2 linked regions of the Rhinolophus ferrumequinum genome follow. The protein of the gene in region 1 purifies or fractionates together with the protein of each later gene. This does not show direct contact. Links are inferred from orthologs where the notes say so. Each region holds a gene or a part of one and is shown on either strand. Other genes may lie near its edges.

Evidence for each region.
Region 2: the proteins of PGRMC1 (region 1) and DUSP9 purify together in Homo sapiens (affinity purification with mass spectrometry; 3 studies listed by BioGRID). This does not show direct contact. The link is inferred for Rhinolophus ferrumequinum from reciprocal best matches to the Homo sapiens genes PGRMC1 and DUSP9.

What each region holds. Positions count from the first base shown.
Region 1 is NC_046284.1:37,651,738-37,661,183, forward strand, and holds the start of PGRMC1 (membrane-associated progesterone receptor component 1), read right to left. Parts: upstream 4,021-9,446; 5' UTR 3,921-4,020; coding exon 3,596-3,920; intron 135-3,595; coding exon 1-134. UniProt on the Homo sapiens protein: Component of a progesterone-binding protein complex. Binds progesterone. Has many reported cellular functions (heme homeostasis, interaction with CYPs). Required for the maintenance of uterine histoarchitecture and normal female reproductive lifespan.
Region 2 is NC_046284.1:6,764,351-6,774,343, reverse strand, and holds the start of DUSP9 (dual specificity protein phosphatase 9), read left to right. Parts: upstream 1-5,529; 5' UTR 5,530-5,695; exon of another isoform or gene 5,696-5,705; intron 5,706-9,993. UniProt on the Homo sapiens protein: Inactivates MAP kinases. Has a specificity for the ERK family.

The sequences.
Region 1 (9,446 bases):
ACTCAGGGTCTCCTGCTGGGCAGGAGTGAGGTCAGAAAGGTCATCGTACTCATCCTTCAGGGCTTCCTTATCCAGGCAAAATGTGGCGAGGCCCCTGGATGCATCTCTTCCCGCAAAGACTCCATACGGCCCCTCTTTTAAAGACAAAACAAAACCAAAGACCAATTCTTTATTAGACAGTCAAGTTCTCTGTTGTTCATGCACAGAAAATGGCTTCCTTACCCATCAACATAGAAAGCCCTCTTTTGGAATACCCAATTCCATTTGGAAAACGTAAGTGATGTTGATACTTTAATCATTATGTAGTGGATAGTAAAAGATCTGTTGTTATTAAACTTTTAGTGGGAGATGAGGGTAAGGGGGATCAAATATATGGTGATGGAGGGAGAGCTGACTCTGGGTGGTGAACACACGGTGTGATTTATGGATGATGTGGTGCAGAATTGTGCACCTGAAATCTATGTAATTTTGCTAACAATTGTCACCCCAATAAATTAAAAAAAACCAAACTTTTAAATAACTAAAACTAAATCAAAATGTTATACATTATAATTAATTTCCTGTGATTTTCAAATAGCTAATAAAAAGGCCATAAAAGACTATTGCACCCATCCAGGTAATAATGGGTCCACAGGTCAGAATTCAGTTTTAGGACATTGAACCCAAAGCCTGGCTCTGTTCTGGGCACCTGGGCTACACCAGGGAAAGTTATGGTTTCTTAAGATAATAAACACTAAGGTTTTAGTAAATGAACTAAATGCATTCTAATATGTTTTAATGAGTCAAACATATCGTATAGAGATTTTTGGTTGTGAGACTGTATTAAACATTAACATGTGGCACCTGCAGGAGAAATCATTTTATAAGAGTATTAGAAATCTATCCACATGTTACATAATCTTCACTGTCAATAAAGAGATAGCACAGAGATCAGCTCTATCACTGTTTTTGGTGGCCTTGAAGAACAGAAGACTAAAAATCCTAAAACTATCATGGGAAATAAAGGCTCAATCAATATCCCAAACTAATTCTATAAAACATTAGAATGCTATTACATATATTATACTGAACTTTTGTCTAAGAGAGCAGTGACTTATTCTGTAGGTACTTAAAGTGGATGTTTATACTTATTTAAATATTGCACAAATACATAAAAAGAATCCAGTGTACTTTAAACAATGTGTGTTTCCCCAAAGGCTGACTGAGTAGCAACCCTGACATTAAAAAGTTTGTAGGTAACCACTATGTCAAGTATGAAAATGGGTCAAGTTTCAATATGGCCTGGTCACCTGCAACCTCAATCCACCAGGCTTTTTTCAAATTAGATTAACTTTAAGATCAACTTTTAAATGTTATCACCAGAATATTCACTCCATGGAATGTAAACTCCATGAGCCGAGATTTGTTTTTTGTTGTTGTTCACTGCCATAGCCCCAGCACCTACAAAAGTGCCACGCATAGAATAGGCACTCAAATGTATAATTCTTAGGAATCCTTTGTAACATGAAGTATCCTTTCCACATGATGTCATACATTCATGGTATCACGGGCTTATAGTGCAGGGGAGAGACTAAGAGTGGGCCATCCTTATGATTTTAAAGAGGGACAACTACTGTGTTTCCCCGAAAATAAGACCTAGCCGGACCATCAGCTCTACTATGTCCTTTGGAGCAAAAATTAATATAAGACCCGGTATTATATTATATTGTATTATATACCCGGTCTTATTTTATTAATATAAGACCAAGTCTTATACTAATTTTTGCTCCAAAAGACACATTAGAACTGATGGTCTGGCTAGGTCCTTTTTTTTGGGGAAACACGGTAAGGCCCACAGAGAACAATGCTTTGCACTGGGTCACACAGCTAGTCAATGATCCAACAAGGGCTAGAACCCAGGTTGCCTGACTCCCAGTTTTGTGCTCTGTGCACAGGCCTACATTCCTCTCAATGACTTTGCAAACTACAATCATATGATGATGCCTCATGCATGTGTTTTGACAACTTTATGATATAGCTCAGTAATAACAGGTATTTACACGATTATGTTTATTGATAATGCCTCTAGGTGTGCCGCTGTAAGTGACAATACAGGTGTGGTTTTTAAATTATTTTGACAGTTACATGTCTGCATTAAGTAGGTCTATTAAATGATCCACAAGGAAAAACTGCTAAGTGAGAGATCCTTAAAAATTTTAACATATCTGATTTTTTTGAGTCAGACTGGGAGACTAAGACAAAGCAGAAGTGGGAATGGCCAGATTGCTGCCTTCTATACTCTTCCAGAGCAGCAGGGAAGAGAACGCTGTCAATGTGGAAACGTTCCCTGAGCTCCCTGATTTTAGAAGAGTCCATATTGGAGGAGTTAAAATAAAATGTCTTCCACCTCCTCTGCAAATACTCTTTAAAGCAGAGCTTTCCAAACCTGGCCTGGGGAAGCATGTTAAAAGTGCAGATTCCAGGTGATCTCCCCCAGAGACTCTTCCGTTGTTAAGGTGATTAGGCCAGAGTCAGTAGGTTAACTCATTTGCATCAGGTGATTCTGATCCAACCAGGCTTAAAAAAAAGCCACATCACTAAGGCACCTTCAAGCCTGCCTCCTCCAACAGCTCAGCAGTCATCCATCCACCCCTCATTTCATTATCCTGAATCCCCACACCCAGCAGCCTTCAGAGTCCTACCCCTTTTGTTTCTCAGGATCCTCCCACTTCTCCCTCCCTCCATTTTAATTTTTTTTTTGGCTTCTAGTCCTTTCTCTCCTGATGTAGTTTAAACTACTATATTACCTCCTCATGTTGCTACATTCCCATTGTCCACCACATCCAGCCTTTATTCCTCCTTCAACCAGCTCCCTTCCTCCTACGGAACCTCCCTTGTTCAACTTCCATCTTTTCCCAGTCCGCCACACACAGCGCGCGCACACACATGCCACACACATACCTGACACATGCCACACTCCAAGCACGCGCGCACGCACACACTGCCCGACAAGCCACATACACTGACAATGCACACAGAGCGCACACTCACATCATTCACCCCCACGCACGATGCGTCTACCTGCTGGTAATCCCTTCTCCCACACCCTCACATCCGACCAAGGCTACTCCTGGCGTCATCGGCCTTCACGTCCTCTCCAAGGCTGGATCTCCCTCCTCCAGACCTCCACCCATGCCTCCCTCAAGACACCCACATTTCCTTTCTTCAGCCCAACACCGCACCCTCCTTTCAGGCAACCTCAAACCTAATACCTTCGAAAATCCCCCAACACTGCGTTCTGCTGTGCCCCCTAAACGTTTCCAGACTCGCGATTTTATCCACCCACCCCGGCTTAAGGGCATCAGACTCTCCACCCCTTATCCCCGCGTTAGCGGCGCGAGGCCGGGAATCTGCGTCTCCCACTGGCCCGCAACCCTTCTAGAGCGTCCCTTGCCCGCGGTGGGAGCCGTCGGGCCATCACCGCCTGCCCGCCCTCACTGGCTCGTCGCCATTCTTCCCCCCGGGGACGCTCTGCTCCCCCCTCAACCCTCCCGGATTTTGCCCCGTGCCGGGGCCCCTTCCTTTGTCTCCGCGTCCCCAGGGCGGGCCGCCATACCGGGCCCGTAGAACTTGCGACCTTTGGTCACATCGAACACCTTGCCGTTGATGGCCATGAGTATGCGCGGGTCCTGGACGCCGTCAAAGCGCCGCAGCTCGGCAGGGGTGAAGTCGCGCCGCTTAAGGCGGGGCAGCGGGGGCGGCTCGTCGTCGTCGCTGTCGCTGCTGGCCGCCGGCTGGTCCCCGCGCACGATCTTGTAAAGCAGGAAGATGCAGAGACCGAGCAGCAGCAGGTTGAGCGGCGACATGAAAATCTCGTTCAGCAGCCCGCCCTCCATCTCGTTCGGGTCAGCGCCCGTCGCCACCACATCCTCGGCAGCCATGATCACTGAAGCAAAGGTTTGAGCTGGGTGGGGAGGGCTCCGGAACTCGCTGCTTTCTCCTCCCTCTCCGAGAGCTAGTGACGCCTGAGGATCTGCGGACAAGGACTAATCAGGGGAGGAGGCGGGGGAAAATGGGCGGAGCCTCCAGCCCCTCCTCTCCCGCAGCCGCTGTTGCGCGCGGCCCGGCTGAGTCCCGCCCCGCCCAGCCCAGGGCCCCCATCTTCCTGTGGATCGTAGCTCCCTTCCCCCAGCCAGATCCGGCCTTCCAGCCAGAGAGATCGCTGAGTCCACCCCTCAGTTCCACCTGCTTGGCCCAGGTCCCCACTAGACGTAATCCTCACGCCAACTGGCTCACGGCGACGCAGGGCGTAGCCCTACTCCGCACCCCGCTTGCTCCTGGCGCAAAGACCCCCTTGGAGAGCCTTGGTTCTGCTAAGCTCTGTCTGAGACCCTCTGTCACTTCATGCCCACCAAACACCGACTCCATTTCTCTTGCTTCAGGCTTCTCCGTCGCCTCAATTTCGAAGCCTCATCTTTCCCCGGCCATACCCCAGGGCCTCCAGGCTTTCTTGGAAGACAGGAAATTTACTCCTCGAGCTCCTTTTTCCACCTTTGAGACCCAGCCTACCCATTTTCACCTGAGGAACCCCTATTCGCTCTCATGACGACACTTCTCCAATCTCCCCCCGCCCCAGACGCTGTGGGGTGAACACCCCCGGGATAGCTAAAGTCAGTGTACAGGCCCCCATCTGACAACTCCCCCCCAAATCTGGGAAAACGATCAGATTGCGCGATTTACTATGGGTTCTTTCTCAGAAAACTAAATCCTTTTGCGATCACTGATTTGCTCAGTCCCAACGCATCAGCAAGCAACATTCTGTTGTGCTTTTTTTCCCTCTCAGAATAATGAGAAAAGTTTCTTTGACAGCTTTCTATTTGAAGTCTATCGAACGACGCTTGGCAGTCATAATAACCCTGTGCTGAAGCCCGGACGAAGGCGGGAGTTTGGAAGGATCCTAGTAGATTTGGTTCCTTTCTTTCCTAGGTATTTCATCCAGCCTTTGGTGTGCTAGCCGGCTGCACAGGAGCAGGTCTTATGGAGGAAGGGCTGTCTATACCCTTTAGAGTCTTAATCTGGCTGCCTCTTTATTGTGGCAGGGGGAGGGGAGCCGAAGAAAAGGTGGTGGGGGGGGGGGATAATTAAAACCAAGCCATGCCAACATCTGCAGCCCAGAGCTGTACTTTTCCGTGAGGAATTCTGTTCGCTTGCACATAACTTACTCCCCCTCCCAACAAGCAGGCTTCTTACTTCAGAATTCTGAAAATTTCTGGCACAAACAGCTTCCATCCCTGCCCCCATCCCATCTTCTTAAATCCTTTAAAAATGCATGTGAGCTGAACAATCTTTAAATCTGCCCACGCATTTTTTTTCACAGATCTAAATTTACGATAAGCTGAAATGGTCGTTTTAGATCATTTGTCAAACTTCTTCAATTTAATCAAGGGAAAACAGGCTCAAAATCAGCTGTACTTAGGATCTAATTATCTTTTTAAAAAATTGTATGGCCAAGACAGTTTTACAAACCAACAAACTTGTGAAAAATATTTTCATTTGTAACCAATATAATAGACAAAGGGTTGATATTTTTTAAGACCTCATTTTAATTGACAAGAAAAATCCAGAAGACTCTAGATAATAAATGGGCAAAAATAGAAATAGGTAGTACACAGAGGAGGGGATACTAATGGTGGATAAGTATATGAGAAGTGTTAAGTCTCACTAGCAATAAAAAATGGAGATGGAAGGAGAACTGACTCTGGGTGGCGAACACACAATGTAATTTATAGATGATGTGATACAGAATTGCACACCTGAAATCTATGTAATTTTAATAACAATTGTCACCCCAATAAATTTAAAAAACAATTAAAAAAAAGAAAAAAATGGAGATACCGCTGTCATGCTCAACGTTCCTATAAGAAAGATAAAAGCAAAAAAAAAGGATGGTATACAATGCTGGCAAGCGAGTGGTGAGACTCTTGTCATACCGTTGGGAGGAGTAAAAATTGGTATAACCTTTTGTTATCCATAAAAATATTTTCTATCAATTAATCCCACCTCTAGAAGTCTGCTCTTTCATCCAGTAATTCCACTTCTAGGAATCTATCCTAAGGGAACACTTAGAAATACAGACAAAAATTTTATTACTGAGATGCTCATCAGAGAATCATTTTTAATATGGAAAAACTGGAAATAACATGAATGTTCAATTTCAAGAAATACCTAATTAGTCGAATTCAATTGTGACAGAACTATTAAATGGTGTATGATACAGTCATCCAAGTATTATCATGACATGGGAAAATACGTGTATTTATGTTTTAATCTTAAGCAGCAAAACAGGATACAAAACTATATACAGTATGAACTCAACTATGTAAAAAAAACCCCACAAAAAATGAGTAAGCGGTAGCACGAAAGGAAACATGCTAAAATGTTAACTGTTGGGATTGTTACTTCCTTCTTTATTCTTTTCCACATTTTCCACAATAAGCACATGCCCTTTTAACTTCGGGGAGGAAAATGGTTTATTATTCCTTTTCTGAAAAAAAATGTAGAATGGTAATACATGTTTACTATAACAAACTTTATATGTACGTGTATAAAGTAAAAAATGAAACTCATCTCCCTCTCCCAACTCTCCAAACAATCTTTAGATCCGGCCTGCACATTAGCAGTTTGGTTTATATTCCTGTAGACATATGAAACACAGACACAGACACACACACACACACACACACACACACACACACACAGATTTTTACTTATAAAACTGGGGAATTCTTTATTTGTATTTTTAAATTACAGTTGACATTCAGTATTATATTCGTTTCAGGTATATATCTTAGTGGTTAGACATTTATATAACTTCTAATGTGGTCCACCCAATAAGCCTAGTATCCATCTGGCACCATACATAGTTATAAAAATATTATTGACTACCTTCCCTATGCTGTACTTAAAATAATAAATGATTCATCAGTTTTTTTCTAATAAAGAGATACAAAGTAAAAAATAAGAATAAGCCATTAGCTCCCACCCAGATAACCCCTGTTGGAATTTTTTAAAAGTCATATTCATTTAAGGTGAAAAAATTCAAACTATGGGAAGATACAAAAGGTAAATTAAAGCCCCTTTCCCCACCCCTGATTCTCTCTCCTCAAAGGTAACCACTATTAAAAGTGGGGGATATGTCAGACAGAGACAAATACTGTATGATAGCTCTTGTACGAGATCTGACAATTAAGTTCGCAAACTTGACACTGTGTGCTTACATTGGCAGCACTGTACAAACAGCTCGGTAAGGTTTCATAACTTTGGTATGTCAGTGTCTCGCAGCTGTGTTTGTGTTGACGTGTGGCGGTGTCTTGCTGAGTGGCGTTCATTATTGTTGTTGTGTGTTTTTGTGTGCTGTTGCGAGAATGTCTGAGCTTGAATTAGAACAATGAACAAACATTAAATTTCTTGCTAAACTTGGCAAGAGTGGAAGTGAAATCAGGGACATATTAGTCCAAGTTTATGGGAATAATGCCATGAAGAAAACAGCAGTGTACCAATGGATTAAATGTTTTTCTGAGGGGAGAAAATGAGTCACTGATGAAGAGAGGTCACGGCAGCCAGTAACGAACAGAACTGACAAAAACATAGCAAAAAATCATCGAATTGTTTATCAAAATTGTCAGCTGACTGTGAGAAGCATAGCAGACTACGGAAACATCGATAGAGAAACAGGAAAATCTTACTTGAAAATCTTGGCATAAGAAAGGTGTGTGCAAAAATGATCCCAAAGGAGCTCACTGATGAACAAAAGCAAAGGAGAGTCAAAGTTTGCCAAGACCTTTTGGTGAGGCAAGGTGATGTTTTGGGCCATGTTATCACTGGTGTAGCAATAGGACCCTGAAACAAAGCATCAAAGTGCACAAGGGAAATCAGACAATTTTCCACGACCAAAAAAGTTTCGTCAGTTCAAATCAAGAGTCAAAACAATGTTGCTAACATTTTTTAATATTGGAGGGATTTTCATTATGAATTAGTACCAACTGGACAAACAGTTAACCAAGTTTACTATTTGGAAGTGCTAAAAAGGCTGCATAAAAAAGTTAGATGAAAAAGACCTGAACTTTTCGCCAACAATTCATGGCTTTTGCATCACGACAATGCACCAGCTCACATGGCACTATCTGTGAGGGAGTTTTTAGACAGTAAACAAATAACTGTATTGGTACACCCTCCCTACTCACCTGATCTGGCCCCCAATGACTTTTTTCTTTACCTGAAGATAAGGAAATATTGAAAGGAAGACATTTTGATGACATTCAGGACATCAAGGATAATACGATGACAGCTCTGATGGCCACTCCAGAAAAAGAGTCCCAAAATTGTTTTGAAGGGTGGACTAGGCGCTGGTGTTGTTGCATAGCTTCCCAAGGGGAGTACGTCGAAGGTGACTGTAGTGATATTCAGCAATGAGTGATGTAGCACTTTTTCTGGGATGAGTTTATGAAATTAATTGTTAGACCTTGTATAAATGCTTTAAAACCAGACTTGATGTTAAGTAAAGTGGGATCTTAGGTAACACTGCGATGTTGAGATTGTTGAATAAAAGCATCCCACCAGTCTGGCTCATGTCAGAATATTGGGTGGAAAGGTCTTGTCCATAATGATAGTTCTCAAGTTCTCTGGAAGTAAGCAAGGTGCTCCCGACTAAAAAAACCACTTCAAAACATGAAAGTTGCATGTTCTTTGGCTTCAAATCAATTTCGAAAGCCTATATATTTGACCTGGGGACTACTTATTTCCCAAGATATGTACGTTAAGTCTTTTAATGTTTCCAAACTTCCTGCCTCCTTTAAATTATTTTCAAAGATTTTTAAGAGCTTTTAAGGAGAAATAGCACAATTGGCTGATTAGCTAGAAAATGTGTGGGAAGTAATTCAACCTCCCTAGTAATCAAATAAATCCAAAGGAACATAATAGCAAAATACCATTTTCATCATTCAAATTACTGAAGTGTTCTTTTTGCCTTTGGCTTCTTAAAGCATTTTAAGAAAGGTAATACTTGATGTTGGGAAGTATGTAACAAGACAAGAACTCTGACACAATGCTGGTGAGAGTGAAATTGCTAGAATGAAAGATTAATTTTGTTCACCAATTTATTTAAGCCCCTAGACCATGTCTGCTATGTAGTTGGTGACCAATAAATATTTGTTGAATTAAAGTACATTGTGAGTGGGTCCTTTCAGCAACATACATTAAGAGTCTTAAATTATTCATAACCCGTGACCAAGGAATCTAACTTCCAGAAATTTTTGCTAGGGAAGTACTCAGGGATATGAACAGATATTTGTATAGAAAAATCACAAAGCATGATATAATAGCAAAAACCTGGAAACCACCTAAGTATCCAAGGATGCTCCCCATCTCACTCATAGTAAAAGCCCAAAGTCCTACAAGAACCTACAGGA
Region 2 (9,993 bases), about 31 Mb from region 1:
GCCACTGCTCCTGGTTGGTAAAGCAGAGTCAAATGGGACTCCAGAGTGGCCCGGACTGAGCCATGCCTCTCAGAGCCCCCACTGGCCCTTCCTTTTCTCTCTGTGATAATGAAATGGCACTGGCAATGGGGGGGGGAGGACATGAGGGGAGACCCAGCTAGCAGGCAGGAGTACTCACTGCCTGCTGGGTGTCATGATGAGGCAGGAGACAGTGGGAAGTTGACTGGCCACAGTGCCCAGGCACACAGGGGACTGAGAACCTACAGTCATATACAAGCAGGACAGTGACGACCCATGCAAGGGGCTCAACGACTCATCACAGCCCCTCACTAGGAGGTCCAGCATGGAGAGGCCGTGGCTGTCCCCTTCCCACTGGTGGGTGGAGTCTCTGGAGGGGATGCAATCGATCCCTCTGGCTTCACCTCCCCCTCCCTCTTCTGGCCCTCCCTCGGCCCAGGGGCTGGCCCCCGAGGGACAGCTGGTCACGTGGCTCCAAATCTGAATCTGTGAGCTGGGTGCTCTCAAGATGCAAATGAGTCACCAATGTGGGAAGCAGGTACTGCAGCGGCTGCGGGGTAATAGCTACTCTAAATTTAGATGGAAAATCCCCACAGAGTTGGCAGAAATATCCCAAGCCTTCCTGGTGGCAAGCCTCTCAAGCAGGAAAGTGGGAAGGGGGCAGCAAGAGCTAGGGGGCTGCACAGAGGATGGGGGCTGGGCCAAGAGAAGGCTCTCATCTGAGCTGAGGCACCCCTGCTGTAGGGGCCCATCTGTCACCCTGCAGCCACCGCCTAGGACCCCACCCTGGCGGGGTTGGCCTGGACTCAAAGGTGGACCAGGCCCTCTCCGCAGTTGATTCTTTGCCGATTCGGACTGTGCGGACAGCTCATCAGGGCCCCTCTTACAACCAGGAGCTGCCTCCTTCCTTGCTGTGACTGGGTCGCTGGCCCCTGTCCTGCCTGCCCCCAAGCCTACAAGAAACAATGACCCGGAGCAGACCCAAGCTCCCAAGGGCAGAGGCAGTCCCCTCTATGGAGGCTGACGCCTGGCTGGAGTCCTCAACCTCGTCTCGCTGTGCCTCACTTTGTTCGTCTAGAACGTTCATCCAGAGCTGCCAGGATGGTTTGGTAGCACCTGTGCGTATCAATCTCATTCCCAGCACGGTGACCCAGAACTACTGTTCTCATTATCTAAGGGTTCTGGGATGGGGCCTTCCCCGCAAGCCAGGAGTGCCCCGCCTGAGTCTCTCGTCTGGTGGCCAAGCAGCTCCGTGAGCTGGCCCTCCGCAGCACCCTTCTGAAGCCTGGGCCCCAGAGGCCCAGCCACAGGACCTGCTTTGTCACTCTCTGATTCCTGCCCTACTCATCTGATTCCTGCAGATGACAAGGTGGTCCCTGTCATCTGCAGCTCTGGGTTCTGGCTCTAACTTCACCAACGAGGCTGTAGGGCCTTAGACAAGTCATTGCCTTGGGGGCTTAGCTCCCTCCTGCCTTCATTTATTTCAGTCACTGTGAGAAACTCACTAGGGCTTCCAGGTCCAGGGCTGGCGGCAAAGAGATGGTCCCAGACCAGACCAGGGGGTGATGGCTCCAGGGGTGCCAGGAGAGATGCAGAGAGGTGCTGGTGCACCCTGACCCCGGGACAGTACGTGACACAGCCTGGCTTTGGGCCTTGGTCTGGGTGCAAGGAACCAAAGGAGGCCCAGGCTGGGCCTTGCAGTGTTGGGAGGGGCCAGAGGAGTGGTGGGGGGATGCAGCCAGACAGGGTCCTTAGTACTGTGACAGAGCGGGAGCAGACCCTTGAGGAACAAGGTAAGAAAAACCCAAAGCATCCCCAGAAGCCCCCTCCCCCCTCCTCTCGCAGACATCTGAGCCAGTGCAAGGGGTCAGAATGAGCCCCAGCCTGCGCTGGACTCACTGCCTGTTTCATATATTATCTTCTTTCCCGTGATGAGATGGCCTCACTCGAGAGGCACATTCCTGGAGGTGGGGGGGGGGGGAATGAGAGATGTTGCCAGAAAGGCAGGTAAGCCACTCATAGAGGTCTTCCTCAAAGTGACTGGCGGGTCGCAGCAGTTTGGTCCTTCCACCCTCAGTGGCTCCCCTCTCTCCTGGCCCCATTCAGCCCTCAACTTCCCTTGAACAAGCCAGGAAGTCATCTGCTTCCCTCTCTCCTACCCTTCCACCGAGTGGGGGCTGGAAGGGCTCCCAACTCTCCCCCCTCTTCCCTCTCACCTCCTTTTGCCTGTCCAGCCAATGGGTGTGGGCGTCTGGCTCTCTCCCAGCACAAGGATTATATCATCTGTAATGTATATCCAGACACACACGCCGCTGCTTGGGAGGACAGGAGAAGGGGAAGGAGCCAACACAGCTGGCCGGAGGGGGTTTATAACCAGGTTATTGAACCTGAACCTGAGCCCTCCCGGAATGGGGGTGTTAATGGCTCCTGAGAACCTGGCCCCTCAGAAATCAATCTCAGCACAGGCGGGCTCTCTCGAACTCCCCTCCCTCCTGCTCTAGCCTGGGGCTGCCTCACCCTTTCACCTCAGCTGCAAGTGCAGATCTGGGAGCCGTCACCAGGGCCATTTGATTTCAAATGTCCGGATGTAGCCCCACTGGGAACTGCAGCAAACAGGTTGGGTGCCCTGGAACAGGGTCTAGAATGTGCTTCTGAAGGTATGGCAACTGGTATCACGTCTAGAAGATGCTGGCTAAGGTGCCTCTGATGGGGGAGGAGAGACTGAAGCCTGTTATCCAGTGGTGGCCTGGGGGGAGCGGTTGTCAGGTGAGCAAATGGCTTCAGCTGTAGGTATTGCTCTCAGTAGGACCAAATGGTTGCCCAGAAATAAAGCCTTGTGCATGTACCCAAGTGCCAGCGTCCCTCAGATGGGAGCAGGGTCTCTAAGCAGGGGCCAGATGGGGTGGGCCTCTCCTCAAACCTCCACTTACTTGTAAAGTAGCCCAGAATTGAGACCTGGAAAAGGTGAACAGAGCAGGTACAGGTGCCTTCAGCCAAAGGCCCAGTCTGTCAAAGCAGGGCCAGCAATACGCATGGCCAGGCTGAAGACCTCTCCATCCCAAGCAAGGCCCAGCTTTCTGCCCCTCCACCTTGCCAAGGGCCGGCAGTTCCTGGTCCCCCGCTGAGAGCCTTGGGCTTCTGGTGAGAAAAGGGGCATGGCCAGAGAGGAGAGAGTGAGGGCTAGAGCTGCCCAGTCACCCCACCCTCAGATAGGACCTGAACACACGGGCGTGGCTTCCAAGATGGAGGCCAGCTGTGCCTTTAGAACAACCTGGATTCCGACATGGTTGGCTTCGTACTCAAGTCCTCTTCAAGAACATTCTCCATTTTATTCTTCAACAGGGCACAGGCCAGGCCTTGCTGGCCAAGACAGGTCTCCGGGGGTGAGGAGGGAGGTCCCATTTTCTGAGGCAGAGCAGGCCTGTGCCTTCAGAGCTCCTGGGCCTGGCCTGGCCATTGTATTAGCCTTCTTCTCTTCCAGTCTGGTGAGTCTTGTTGCCTGGAGAGCACAGGCACTGTGGGAGGGTAGGATGGGTGTTTTGCAGGGGTGGGGGGCACCATCAATCAATCCAAATGTTCCTCCTCCAGCCCTTCAGCCCTGAGTCACTAAAGCGCAGGATGGGGGGGAGGGAGGGAGTTGGTTATCCAATCTTTCCAGAAACTTCTCTGTGAGTCAGCTCACCAAGCCTTTGCCAGGGGCCAACTGAGTGCCCAGGCCATGGGCACAGCCACCATGGTCTTCCCCAAATGGGAGGACCACCAACGGGTGACAGCTGGCCCCATCTTTTTCAGTCTCCATGTATTTTCATGTTTTGGCTGACAAAATGGCCCTATTGCTATATGGCACAGAGTTTAGCGTATGTTGATTTCTTAGCAAAGGCCCCTAAATTTCAGGACAACCGGCAGGGCTATCAGAGAAGCACAGCGTCCAGCGGGAGGTCCTGCACACAGTTCTGTCTGCTCACCCATGTGGTGGAGGTTGCACAGTTCTGCTCCACACTGGATCCCTAATGCTGAAGGAAAGGAGAAAGGACAGCCCAGCCCCAGGAAGCACCCTGGGCCTGCCTGGCAGATGCACCTACCAGCAGGTGCAGCCCAGAAAGGGCCTGAGTGGTCATCTGCTGAGGCTGGAAGGGGCCAAAGGGCAGGGCGGGCATGCAGCCTGGTGGCAGCAGGACCCTGTCCCAGCTCACACATAATGGATTAAAACCGCCCTGAAGCTAGGAGGGCCCTTGGAAATCAAGAGGTCCTCCTTTCTACCCAAATGTACAGATGAGGAAACTGAGGCACCAAAGACAAAGCTGTCTGCCTCCTCTCTCTTCCAGAGGTAATGACTCAGGGGAATTCAGCACTGTCGCAGACATGAGCCAGGCGGCCAGGCCTCCCTTGGCTGCCCCTCATCCATGGAGTGGCTGGCATCCCAGTTCTGCCAGCCTCCTTAAAGATGTCATCCCATCCTGTCCTTGCCTCATTCTGATCTCCCTGGGCTGAGAAGGGAACCCCCTGCCAGAAGCCAGCCCACAGCCTCATGCTGGTTCTCAGCATCCCTCATGTCTCGTTCCAGGGCTGAGCCCCAGCTCACCTGACTACTGGCCTGGGAGCCCCTGTGTGCTCCCCCCTGCCTCCCTCCCTGCCTCCCCCTCCCCACAGCGGTGAGCAATCTGGGAACCGGTGGGCCTTCTTGTTCACACTCAGCTGAGGCTTGGGGAACTCAGCCCATCTCAGCCCACTGGGGCTCTGCCACGACATTATTGCCTGACCACCAGGAAACCACTGCCTTGGTTTCCTTAGCTATGGCATGGGAATAGTCTCCTCTGACTCCCAGACTGGTGCAAAAGCAAAAGGAGTTCCTTGATGGGGGATGCCTGTGGCCTTCCGTGCAGAGGAAAGCACACTGGGCCTCCTGACAACACCCCCTTCCAACCCCTCCCCCAAAGTCCTGGCTCCACCCCTTCCAGGCACCGAAGCTCAAGCGATATTACTATTAGCCAGAATCTGATACGTGAGATTGGGAGAGGACAGTGCAGGGGAGCCTGAGGGTTGGGGGCGCTTGCAGTGTAGTCAGCTGGACCTTAAGCCCTCACCCCTGCGGCTGCAGGAAGTGGCCCTGGTGGCCAATCTGTGCCCGGTCCTCGATGGGCCCCTTCAGTTCTCTTGCAGAAAGCAGGGGTGCCAGTGGAGACTCTTCGGTGCAACCCTCCCCCAGCCTAGGCCCAGGCCTAGGTCAGGGCACCCCACCCCATTCCTGTTCCCCAAGCTCGTGGCCCCCACGCAGCAGGGCTGTTGGGGGGCATCCAGACAGGGGCCTGGGTGGGCAGAGCGAGCAAAGGCTTTCAGGTGGGTGGAAGGCGGGCAGGGGCGGGGGAGGTGGAGGGAGACGCCGGGCAGGCTGCGGCCCCTCCCCGCTCCCTCCCTGCGCGCCGCCGGCGACGGTGCCCCTCCTGGGCAGGGGGCGGAGAAGACGGCGACGGGAGGGGAGGAGGCGGCGGCGGAGGCGGGATTTGGAGTTTCCCTCCGCTGCGGCGGCGGCGGCAGCCCCTCGGCTCTAGGCGAGGCCGCCGCCCGAGGCTCCGGTGGCGGTCGGCGGCAGTGGCGGTGGCGCTTCCCGCCGCCCCGGCTTTGGAAACTTCCCGGCCGCCACGCGCGGAGCCGGCGCAGGAAGCCGAGCGGAACGGAGGTGAGCAGAGGTGAGCGGAGCACGCGGCGCCAGAGCACCCACCCCCACCCCACCCCACCCCCACCCCCACCCGGCCTGGCCGCCCTCCGACGTGCGCTCCTCCACCCTGCACCCCCAAAGTCTTGCCAACGCACACCCCACGGGGCCGACGCACGCGCCCCTGTGAGACACACTCGGTCCTGCCACCGCACACCCCCTGCATCCCGACCGTTGCACCTCCGGTGTCGTCCACCACGCACACCCCCTGCCACTTACACTCCCGAACACAAACCGTGCACCGTGGACCCAGGTCCCTGCAGTGCAAATCCCAGTAGCCCGGAACCCACCACTGTCCCCAACTCAGGCCAGCACCCATCACAGACCCTGCCACGCCTCAGTACACACCCCGGTTCACACATACTCCCAATACATCCCTGCACTCTCAGCACTAACCTAGCTCCCCTCGGTGCCCCCACCATCTCCGACTCCCCATATGCTCATTACAGACACCCCACCCACGTTCCCAGCCCAGAGACATTGCAATCCACCCACCCCCAAGCGAAGCCCCAACACTACCCCACACCACAGAGGCTGACACTCCCCAGCTCGCACTCTCAGGCACCCCAACATGTATGCACACCTGCTGGATCCTCTCTCTCCAGCACCCAGCCCCGCCCCCATCGCAAATAGCCTTCAACAGCCCCCAGAACATCCCCGAGTCCCTCCCACCAGCACCCCCAACACCTGGCACGCGGGCTCTAGAGGCTGCAGCATTTGGTGACATCCCTGCCAGGCGCCTCTGGCTCGCCTTGGGCAGCAGCTTGCCATCCTGAGGGGCCCCAGGTGCCTCCCTAAACAGACCTTGAGTCTCCCCAGCGACTGGCTTGGTCTCTTCCCTAAGATAAAGAAGGCACTTAGGGCACAAGGTACCGTACTTAGATGTCGGGGCACCGGGAGTGGGGGTGAGGAGGAGGCAGAGAGGCAGGCACTTAGATGGAGGCGGCAGCACATAGTAGGTCGGTGCCACGAGGACAGGAGTTCACCCAGTGTGTGTGCCAGTCTGCGTGTGTGTTGGGAGGAGAGCTGTGTGTGCACGTGTGCTTGTGCATGTCTGGGGGGAGTGTGTGACCCGCTGAGAGAAAAAGCAGGAGCAGCACCCTCATGGGCTCCCTCGTGCAACAATTGGTTTCATTCATTCATGCCTTCTTTGTTAACGAGCATTTCTTCCGTGAGCGCCCGGCTGGTGCCAGGCCCTGCACTGGGAGCTGAGGCCAGCTTGGGGCCGGGCACACACCCGCTCCTGCCTTGGAGGAACTCCCAGTCCCGCGAGGAGACCGACCAGGAAAAGCAGAAAGCCATCCCCAGCAGAAAGTGGATTTGGTGGAAAAGACACTGGATTTGGCAGGAACGCTGTCGCTGGGAGTTGTGCTCCCGACCATGTGACCTGGCCGCGACAGCCGAAATCCTGCCACTCGGCCCGGCGGGAACCGTGCATTTTGGAATGGGGGGGATGGAGGGAGAGGCGGGGCGCCCCTCTCCGAAGGCTCTGGGGACCAGAGGGCGCACGCGGCGCGCACCGGGCCTAACGGCGGCAACGTCCCCGTGTCCTCCCAGGGGCAGTGGCCTGGCCCAGCGGAAGCCAGGGGTGCCCTGCGTGGGCTGGGGCTGCGGGCGCAGCGCCCACCCTGCGGCGAGCGCGCGGCCTGGCTCCGCCCGCCGGAGGGAGCCTGGTGAGGCCCCAGCGCGCAGCCCGCCTTCCCCTCCCCAGCCCGCCCGGGAGTCGGGTGCGGGGAGGGGCCGGCGCCCCGAGCAGGCGCTGCCGAGGCCCGAGTGCGGAGCGGGCCTGGCGAGGGTCGGGGGAGGGGGCCTTGGCTGCGTTCAGCCCTGCAGTGCGGAGGTGGCAACAGGTTCCAGTTTGTACTGCTGCTAGCGCAGCGGGCGCTGCTGGCGCTGGGCACAGAACACTCGCTTTCCCCGCTGGAGGGCTTGCCAGCAGGGTTGGGAGAAAGGTGCAGGGGAGCCACTTTTCAGGCGTCGGGAGGCGAGGCCCGCACAACCCCACCCCGGAGGGGGGGGGGTTTCTTGGAGCCTAGCTTCCTCTCCCTTCACCACTGTAGAAGTTGCCTCCCTCCGCATCCTCATCTTCCCAGCCAGGCTCCCATCACCTCCTCCAGGAAGTCCTCTCCAGATAGCATGCCTGGGCCCCTGTGGAGTACCTACCTCCCTTGGGGTTGGTGGCCCTCTCTCCAACTATACTGAGCCCCCATTATATAGTGGGTAGGGGCATGTGTCTCTCCACTTCCCTATCAGACGGACTTTGCCACCCTCAGTGCCTACAACCTGGCCAAGCCAGGCACCCCAGGCTGGCACATTACAGATCACTTTAGTGCCTTCAACCCCTGGCCACTCCAGGGTCCCACTCACAGCTGCAGCAGGCCTGGAGGGAATCCCCAGGCTTGGGGCGCATGGCCAGGTGGCTGCCCACCTCTGCCTCTGGGAGTGAGGATGGAGGTATAGGAGACACTGGAAGACAGAGTCTCTGCCCCAGAGTACTCAGGACAGGGAAGTGGGCCCCACTTCCTCCCAAACTGCAGCTCTTGGGCATTGCAGTCTCAGAGAGCTGAGGTCTGGAGCGCAGAGGAGGGAGACAACAAGCTGGCCCAGGAGAGAAAGGCTGCCTGGAGGAGGGCACCTTGAGGGGGCCTGAAGGAGCAGTCTGGACAGGCTGCAGAGTAGGGAGGCCTGGCCTGGGCATAAAGGGGCACATACCAGCTGCCTCAGGCCCCTGGATGCTGGTGGTGGGACTCATCCCAGAGGCCAGGACGTAGTGGGCTATGGCCAGAGATGAAACCCAGGCTGGTGACCCACTGGGTCAGGGAGGGAGGGATGGGGTGAATGGAGGCCCCTTGAGGTAGCCTGGCTCTCCGCAGCATTGCCTCCTCATCTTACTCTGGTTCAGGAGAGGAGTCCTCAGTAGCCACATTGGGCTTAACTAGAATAAACTTAGGCCTTCCAGTGGCTTTGAGCCCTTTCACTCCTTAGTTACACGTCTTGGTGCCTGTCCTATGCATATAGCTCTGCCTTCTTTTACTTAGTTCCTTGGGGTAGATTCGCAGAAGTGGCCAGAGGGTGTGGATTTCTTCCTAGCTCTGGATGCATATTACCAAATTAGTTTCCAAAAGTGCCAATAGAGAATCCTCCAGCAACCAGCAGTGGAGCCGGTTTCACAGCACCCTTTGCCAGTACTGGATGTTCTCATTTTGAGAACATCTTTACTAATGTAATAGGTAGGAAGTGTTACTTTGTTTTCTGTTGTTCTTACCTTGCTTTTTGAATTTGCTTTCCTTCCATGCCTGAGGTTGAACCTTCCCCCAAACGTCTTGTACCGGTTGGGTTTCCCCCTCCATGCGGTCTGTTCTGGTTCCTTGCCCATTTATCTATCAGAGTCTTAACTTTTCGATTAACCTGTATGTGCTTTATCTTATCTTCTGTATATTTTCCTTCAGCTCTACAATTTGCTTTAGATGGGTTTTAAGCAGAGAAGGGACATAGACCAGACTTTTCAGAAATCTCCTCCACCTCGTTTCATTGTCTCGGTACTTACCACACCTGGTATTATCTTGTTCGGTCAGCTGTTTATTACGGACCTATCCTGCTAGTCTGGGAGCTCTGTGCAAGCAGAGACCCTGTGTGTCCTGCCCGTTCATCATACTGTGTCCATGGAAGGTATGGAGGCCAGCAGCCTTTGCCCAACGAGTGTTCTGGTGTAGGGCTGGACAGCTGGTGGTTGAGGTGGATAGGCCTGGAGAGCGCTTTGGAAGCTATGACCGTGACCTGGTCAAGAGCTGGCCGATGCAGGCAAGCCCTTGGCCATTGCAGGGGCAGAGGGGTGAGAGCATAGATGGGAGAGAAACTTCAGTAGAAACTACTTTGCTCTTGACTAGGCAGGAGGCAGAGGGAGAAGCCGAGGGGAGTCCCAGGATCAGTATTGTAAGAAGAGCAGAGCCCTGAGTTTGGGGCTGGGAGCTCAGAGCTCCTGGTGCCTTCGCTGAGGCCTGTGCAAATGAAGCCAGTGGGGGTGCCCAGAAGCTGCCCTCTGCCTGCCTAGCCCTCCAGCCAGCCTTGGGCAGAGTTCTGGGCCAGAAGGCAGCAGTGGCTTTCTGGTCCTGCTGCCTCTTTCACTGCACGATTTCAGTGGCATCCCACAGAGGCCCACGGTGGTGGCTATGATGCGCCTACCATATCCATGGGGCTACTGAACACCAGTCAGGGATATGATGGTTTCGGGTCACTCTGAGTAGGGTTTGAGGCAGGCTCTG